Struthio camelus: one gene and its partner. The protein of the gene in region 1 interacts with the protein of each later gene in a pairwise test. Links are inferred from orthologs where the notes say so. Each region holds a gene or a part of one and is shown on either strand. Other genes may lie near its edges.

Region 1 (3,749 bases):
ACGCGAACCGGGAGCCGAACCGAACCGGCAGCGGGACCGAACCGGCAGCGCCACTGCCGCGAGGGGCGGGGCGGGGCGCGGCCGCGAGACCCCGGCCCGGCCCGAAGCCCCGCCCCCACCCCGCCCCGACCAATCGCCGCGCGCGGCCCGCCCCGCCGCCGGCCAATCCGACCTCGGGGGCGGGCCTCGCCTCACAGCCCCGGCGGTGGCGGCGGCGGCGTCGTCGTGACGCGGCCTGTCGTGACAGAGGCGGCGAGGCGGCGCCCGGGCCGGTTGTTCCGAGGCCTGGCAGCGGGGCCGCGGAGGGGGAGGCTGGCCCGGCCCGGGCGAGGGGTCCCCTCCGCCTGGGGCCGCGGGGATATCAGAGCGTGGCCCTGGCAGCCTGCGCGGGCAGAGCTGGCCGCTCCTCCCCCTCCTTTATCTATACGCTGTTGGCCCCGCACCAGGCGTTCCTTTGCTGGCCTTAATGAAGCTTTCTAATCTAGCTGTTAATTATTTAGCGAGGATAAATTTTTTATATCGACCAGATGGTTTGATCAGCGCATAACTCCCCGTCTCTGCGAGATCCGGCGTATGCTGAAATAAACAAACAAACCTAAGCGCTAACAAACAAGTGGTTAAATGTATCTCCAAAAAGTTGGGGATGGAAAAATCGCATCGAGCTCTTGCCCAGAGAGGTCTGAATTCGCGCAGCTGCTCCGTCTCCACAACTGAAGAGAGCAAACACTGTGAAACGAAAGCTGAGGGAGAGCAAGCGGTGAGAGGTGCAGAAGAAATGAATGAATCTATTAAGAGTAGATTTGGGGAGGGGATTTGTCAGTGACAGGGGCCCAGATATTTTTCACGAGACTGTTCTTGAAAAACAAGCCGGGGACGATACTGATCTTTGCTCGTTTGTCTTAAGAGATGTTATCACGCGGAGAAAAAAAAAGCAGTTGGCTCAGCAGGAGCGTGCGGAGGGCGTTGGCACGATAACGCCAGTGAAGGCAGAAAGTGGGGGAGCCGCGCTGCGGCCCCCTCGCCCCAGAGGTGACACACGTGCTCCGACCCGAGCGACGGCCTCCCCACTGCGATGGCTGGGACGCGCAGAAGGAGCGCTCGGTCTGACGGAGGGGCGCGCGCGAGAGACCCGTTTGCCCTGCGCCTGCGCCCAGGCGCCCCCATTTCTCGATGGCTTGTGATTTGAACGTTTCCGATTAATAATAAATCGCCGAGTTGTTTGTTTTAACGCAGCTTTTGTGTCTCGGAAGGCGAAACGAAATTCTGCTGCCAGTTCTGGGGCTGACGGAAACATAAACCTTTAACCTGCCTGAAATATTTACAGCACAATAAATACTTAAACTGCTGGAAGCTTTAAAACGGTGTAAGGTTTTAAGGCACAATAAACGCCCGAGGTAGCAGCAGGTTTCTAAGGCACCTCAAACAGCCCACGCCCCCGAGCCCTTCAAATCGCTTTCGCACGTAGGGACGTAGTGTCCCTCGGCGGCGCCCGTAGCCGCCTCGGAAGCGTTGCCATGGCGGCGCGCGGCCCTGGCATGGCGCTGCCGCCGCCGCCGCCGCCGTGGGGCCGGGCCCTGGAGCGGCAGCGGGCGCGGCAGCGGGAGCAGGCGGCGCGCAGCCGCCTGCAGTGGGAGCGGGCCAGCCGCTACTTCGCCCACGCCGGGCTCTGCAGCGCCAAGCAGGCCCAGTGGAGCTCACCGCGCGCCCTCCCGCTGAGGTACCGGCCGGGAACCGGGGGGCGGGAACCGGGGGGACGGGGGGAACGGGAGGACAGGGGCTGGAGGGCACCGGAGACCGGGGTGGCAGGGGGGACAGGGGCTGGAGGGGACCGGAGACCGGGGGGGCAGGGGGGACAGGGGCTGGAGGGGACCGGAGACCGGGGGGGCAGGGGGGACAGGGGCTGGAGGGCACCGGAGACCGGGGGGGCAGGGGGGACAGGGGCTGGAGGGCACCGGAGACCGGGGGGGGCAGGGGGGACAGGGGCTGGAGGGCACCGGAGACCGGGGGGGGCAGGGGGGACAGGGGCTGGAGGGCACCGGAGACCGGGGGGGGCAGGGGGGACAGGGGCTGGAGGGCACCGGAGACCGGGGGGACAGGGGCTGGAGGGCACCGGAGACCGGGGGGACAGGGGCTGGAGGGCACCGGAGACCGGGGGGGGCAGGGGGGACAGGGGCTGGAGGGCACCGGAGACCGGGGGGGGCAGGGGGGACAGGGGCTGGAGGGCACCGGAGACCGGGGGGGGCAGGGGGGACAGGGGCTGGAGGGCACCGGAGACCGGGGGGACAGGGGCTGGAGGGCACCGGAGACCGGGGGGGGCAGGGGGGACAGGGGCTGGAGGGCACCGGAGACTGGGGGGGGCAGGGGGGACAGGGGCTGGAGGGCACCGGAGACCGGGGGGGCAGGGGGGACAGGGGCTGGAGGGCACCGGAGACTGGGGGGGGCAGGGGGGACAGGGGCTGGAGGGCACCGGAGACCGGGGGGGCAGGGGGGACAGGGGCTGGAGGGCACCGGAGACTGGGGGGGGCAGGGGGGACAGGGGCTGGAGGGCACCGGAGACCGGGGGGGCAGGGGGGACAGGGGCTGGAGGGCACCGGAGACCGGGGGAGCAGGGGGGACAGGGGCTGGAGGGGACCGGAGACCGGGGGGGGCAGGGGGGACAGGGGCTGGAGGGGACCGGAGACCGGGGGGGGCAGGGGGGACAGGGGCTGGAGGGCACCGGAGACCGGGGGGGGCAGGGGGGACAGGGGCTGGAGGGCACCGGAGACCGGGGGGGGCAGGGGGGACAGGGGCTGGAGGGCACCGGAGACCGGGGGGACAGGGGCTGGAGGGCACCGGAGACCGGGGGGGGCAGGGGGGACAGGGGCTGGAGGGCACCGGAGACTGGGGGGGGCAGGGGGGACAGGGGCTGGAGGGCACCGGAGACCGGGGTGGCAGGGGGGACAGGGGCTGGAGGGCACCGGAGACCGGGGGGGGCAGGGGGGACAGGGGCTGGAGGGCACCGGAGACTGGGGGGGGCAGGGGGGACAGGGGCTGGAGGGCACCGGAGACTGGGGGGGGCAGGGGGGACAGGGGCTGGAGGGCACCGGAGACTGGGGGGGGCAGGGGGGACAGGGGCTGGAGGGCACCGGAGACCGGGGTGGCAGGGGGGACAGGGGCTGGAGGGCACCGGAGACCGGGGGGACAGGGGGGACAGGGGCTGGAGGGCACCGGAGACCGGGGGAGCAGGGGGGACAGGGGCTGGAGGGCACCGGAGACCGGGGGGGGCAGGGGGGACAGGGGCTGGAGGGGACCGGAGACCGGGGGGGGCAGGGGGGACAGGGGCTGGAGGGCACCGGAGACCGGGGTGGCAGGGGGGACAGGGGCTGGAGGGCACCGGAGACCGGGGGGGGCAGGGGGGACAGGGGCTGGAGGGCACCGGAGACCGGGGGGGGCAGGGGGGACAGGGGCTGGAGGGGACCGGAGACCGGGGGGGCAGGGGGGACAGGGGCTGGAGGGCACCGGAGACCGGGGGGGGCAGGGGGGACAGGGGCTGGAGGGCACCGGAGACCGGGGGGGGCAGGGGGGACAGGGGCTGGAGGGCACCGGAGACCGGGGGGGGCAGGGGGGACAGGGGCTGGAGGGCACCGGAGACCGGGGGGACAGGGGCTGGAGGGCACCGGAGACCGGGGGGGGCAGGGGGGACAGGGGCTGGAGGGCACCGGAGACCGGGGGGGGCAGGGGGGACAGGGGCTGGAGGGCACCGGAGACTG
Region 2 (3,749 bases), on another chromosome or scaffold:
CACACTGTCCACACAGACGCCTTATCCCACGGACACACCCTGGCAGTGTAAGCGAGCAGCTAATTGTTCTGTAAAAATCCCTCAAATCTGGTTTCTCATAATTAGGCAGTATTAAATCATGTTAATTAACCGAATTCTGAATTACTGACTTCTGAATTTCACTAGAAATTTACTAGGATTGAAACAGACCAATTTCAAACTCCCAGTTTAAACGAAGGTTTAACATCAGTTTCGTGAGTCTTAAACCTTATTTCAAGATTAACTCCATTGCCTAGTGTGTACTGGCATTACACACGTTAATTGCTATCTGAACAGTTTCATCTTAAACCCAATTTGTTTAGGTTTCCAAAAAGCAATGGGAACTTAGTCTGACATTTATTCTTTTAGTTGAATTATTTCAATCTTATATTCTCTGTACACCGATGGATGTTCATGATCCCTTAAGCAATGTTATAACTATACAATTTTTGTACTAAAAAATTCAGATTCCAAAATCTGAAAATTAATTCTAAGCAAAGAACAGGAAGAAGAACACGACAAATTCAATTCCAAATTTTTAACAAGAATATGAGTAAAAATGAAGAAGGAATGGTGAGATTAACTGATGATAGTACATTTTTCAAAGAAATTGGAATTTTACTTAAAGCAAATTTCGTTTTTAGGCATGGCAATTGCTGTAAATGGGTAAGTGGGTGTGGTTGAACTCACTCCATTTTTCCATTCTTGAATGCGAGAGAGGTAAACTGCAAGTTTCAGAACTATAGCCTAAAGAAAAAACTGTAAGCTGAATCATCCCTTTTGTTTAATTAAAAGAAAAAAAAACAAGTCCTTGCCCCTGGGATCTGCAGCCAGCTCCCTTTGTAAGGAATGGCCTCACCCCTAGGGAGGGGAATCTTTGGAGGGAGGGTTGCAGGGTGGGTTTGTCTCCTAACCCCCTGCCTAGGGATATAAATGAAGCGCCAGGGCAGCAACAGCACTCACATTCTCCCTCTAGACCAAGCTCATTGACCCTAGGTCCTTTCGTGCCTCTGCCATGACTACTGTCTACAGACAGAGCTCCTCTTCTACCTATGGTGGTGGCTTTGGGGGCGGTGGAAGCAGCAGCTCTCGCCTCTCCTCAATCCGAACGGGAGGATCCTACAGGGCTCCAAGTATACATGGAGGATCTGGTGGCAGGGGTGTCTCTGTCTCTTCAGCTCGGTATGTCTCCTCCGTAGGAAGTGGATTTGGTGGTGGCTTGTGTTCTGGTTTGGGTAGTGGCTATGGAGGAGGCTACGGAGGAGGTAGTGCCTTACAAAGTGGCTTTGGTTGGGGTGCAGCCTCTGGCTTTGGTGGAGGGGCTGGCTTTGGTGGAGGTCTTGACTTTGGTGGTGGTGATGGCCTTCTCTCTGGAAATGAAAAGATAACTATGCAGAATCTGAACGACCGTCTGGCTGCATACCTGGACAAGGTACGAGCACTGGAAGAGGCAAATGCTGATTTAGAGGTCAAAATACGAGACTGGTACCAGAAGCAAGCTCCCACCAGCCCAGAGCGGGACTACAGCCACTATTACAAGATAATTGAAGATCTCCGAGACAAGGTATGACATTCATAGGTACAGGGAGTTATAAGAATACATTGGAATTGCGGAACTGCTCTTCAAACCAATTAAAAAACTATAAATAAAAAATTGATTCCCCAAATCCAAATATATTGTAGTTATGAGCATTCTAGCAAAAAAGAGTCTTTTTTTTCTTAATTTAAAAAGTAAATGTGTCATCCTGAAAAGGTGAAGTTTGTTGAAATTAAAATGATTGCACTAAAAGTTAGCAAAAAATGACAAAGTGGGTTTAGAATTATCAATATATTTAGAGAGTAATCAAATACTAAAAATATGATAGGCAGATCTCATAGTCTGGAAAAGTAATTCTCCAGGGCAAAGATAAGATCAGGTATTGTGTAAATGTATTTTACAATTATGTTAAATGTGAACTGTACACATTGCTTATCTTCTCACTTAGTACTTATGAAGTGGTAAAGAAAGAAGATTTAAAGGTTACACACAGAAAGTTCTAAAACAACAACAACAATGTGCTTACTTTCACACAGACATACCTGCCTTTTCTTGGGCTACAGTAAAGGTGTCTCAGATATCTGGGTTGCATCTGGGCGGTGGTAAAGAGTTTAGGTTTTTTGGTTTTCCCATATAAAAGCCATAAGAATTACAACGTGACCAAAAGGCAATATAATAAAATGAAATGGTTATTGCAATGCAAAAAGCGTCTTTAACTAATGAAATCTCAACAGAGGTTCATTTTTTCTGCCTTGTTCGATGGTTAACAGCTTCAATAACTACCTACTAGGCGCTCAGGAACAAGGGTATTTCACCATTACTCACAGGAATCCTTTTCTGTATCTCCTACTGCCAGATCCTTGCAGCTACTATTGACAACTCCAGAATCATTTTGGAGATTGACAATGCCAGGCTGGCTGCAGATGACTTCAGACTGAAGTAAGTTTAGCTGGATCACATTTTTATTCTCTCTCATCCTCTCTCTCGGTTTTTTGAAGTTTAATATTACTTCCTATCTAGAAAAAAAAGTTCTTCAGTCACTGACATATTTTTCTTCTATAACCTATGATGAAAAAATCCAGTTAAAAGAATTGATGTGATGAAGGAAGAAATGGGAAAAGAAACTTGATGGAACATAGTATCCAGATTACTGAGATGTTTACATAATAAATTATAGTTCATGTCTTATTTTGGAGGATGCTCCTGAATAGTCTTACTAGCCTAAATCACTCGGGAAAAGAAAGCAGGAACAGGTTGGAATTAGCGTTTAAAAGGAACAGAATGGTGTGCCGAGATGCCTGCTTGGCTGCAGCAGCTCTCTCGCACAGAGTGTCAAATTAAGAAAGGAAAGACAACAGTGATTCTGTGCTTATCCAGTTCATGGACGCTGAGAACAGCCCGTCAGGCACTGCTGAAAAGATGACAAAGATACTTGCACAATTGTTTTCTCTCACAGCAATGTACCTGCAGGTTTGTATTTTCTCCTCTAATGCCCTAGGCAGAGCTGGGCAATCTATGCTTTTCTTTGTGCCAAATTTGAGAAGATGCTGAAAACGAACTGTCCTGTATGGTAACTTTTCTATCAATGCTGATAATAACTATTAGGTATTACAAACTGAAAAGGTCATGTATTCCTCTGGAATAAAATCAGATGGCAATCCATGTGCTTTCATACTTGAAAGGGGCAAAAAATATCTGCATTCCCTTTAAATTTCCTTTTAATGGATGTTTTCATTTACATCCTCCTGTTCCTTCTACGTTCAGCATAAAATTCCACAGTTTTCCAGCTCTCCTCAATACCAACTCTTGTATGTTCCAACGTGTGTTTCTTTTTAAAACTGCAGATATGAAAACGAGCTGTTCCTTCGCCAGAGCGTGGAGTCCGACATCAACGGCCTGCGCAGAGTCCTGGACGAGCTGACTCTGGCCAGAGCTGACCTGGAGATGCAGATTGAAACACTGAAGGAGGAGCTGGCCTACCTCAAGAAGAACCACGAGGAGGTGAGAGTTCTTAACAATCAAGAGAGAAAATTAGTTCCATTCAGAATTTACCCCTCTCCATTTGGGGGAAAAACAAACCAGAATGACAGTTTTACAGCTAAATGATTAAGAAGAAAACTGTAATCTCAAAAGAATCCAAATCGTGTCCCTTAAAGCACCTCTCTAATTCCAAACTATTCAGAACTAGGAGTTT

What was found. The genes of interacting proteins can lie anywhere in the genome.
Region 2: the proteins of TCHP (region 1) and keratin, type I cytoskeletal 15 interact in binary tests that used the Homo sapiens proteins (3 or more experiments, as listed by UniProt). The link is inferred for Struthio camelus from reciprocal best matches to the Homo sapiens genes TCHP and KRT16.

What each region holds. Positions count from the first base shown.
Region 1 is NC_090958.1:19,323,966-19,327,714, forward strand, and holds the start of TCHP (trichoplein keratin filament-binding protein), read left to right. Parts: upstream 1-1,514; coding exon 1,515-1,717; intron 1,718-3,749. UniProt on the Homo sapiens protein: Tumor suppressor which has the ability to inhibit cell growth and be pro-apoptotic during cell stress. Inhibits cell growth in bladder and prostate cancer cells by a down-regulation of HSPB1 by inhibiting its phosphorylation.
Region 2 is NC_090966.1:7,137,249-7,140,997, reverse strand, and holds the start of keratin, type I cytoskeletal 15, read left to right. Parts: upstream 1-956; 5' UTR 957-1,033; coding exon 1,034-1,582; intron 1,583-2,411; coding exon 2,412-2,494; intron 2,495-3,399; coding exon 3,400-3,556; intron 3,557-3,749. UniProt on the Homo sapiens protein: Epidermis-specific type I keratin that plays a key role in skin. Acts as a regulator of innate immunity in response to skin barrier breach: required for some inflammatory checkpoint for the skin barrier maintenance.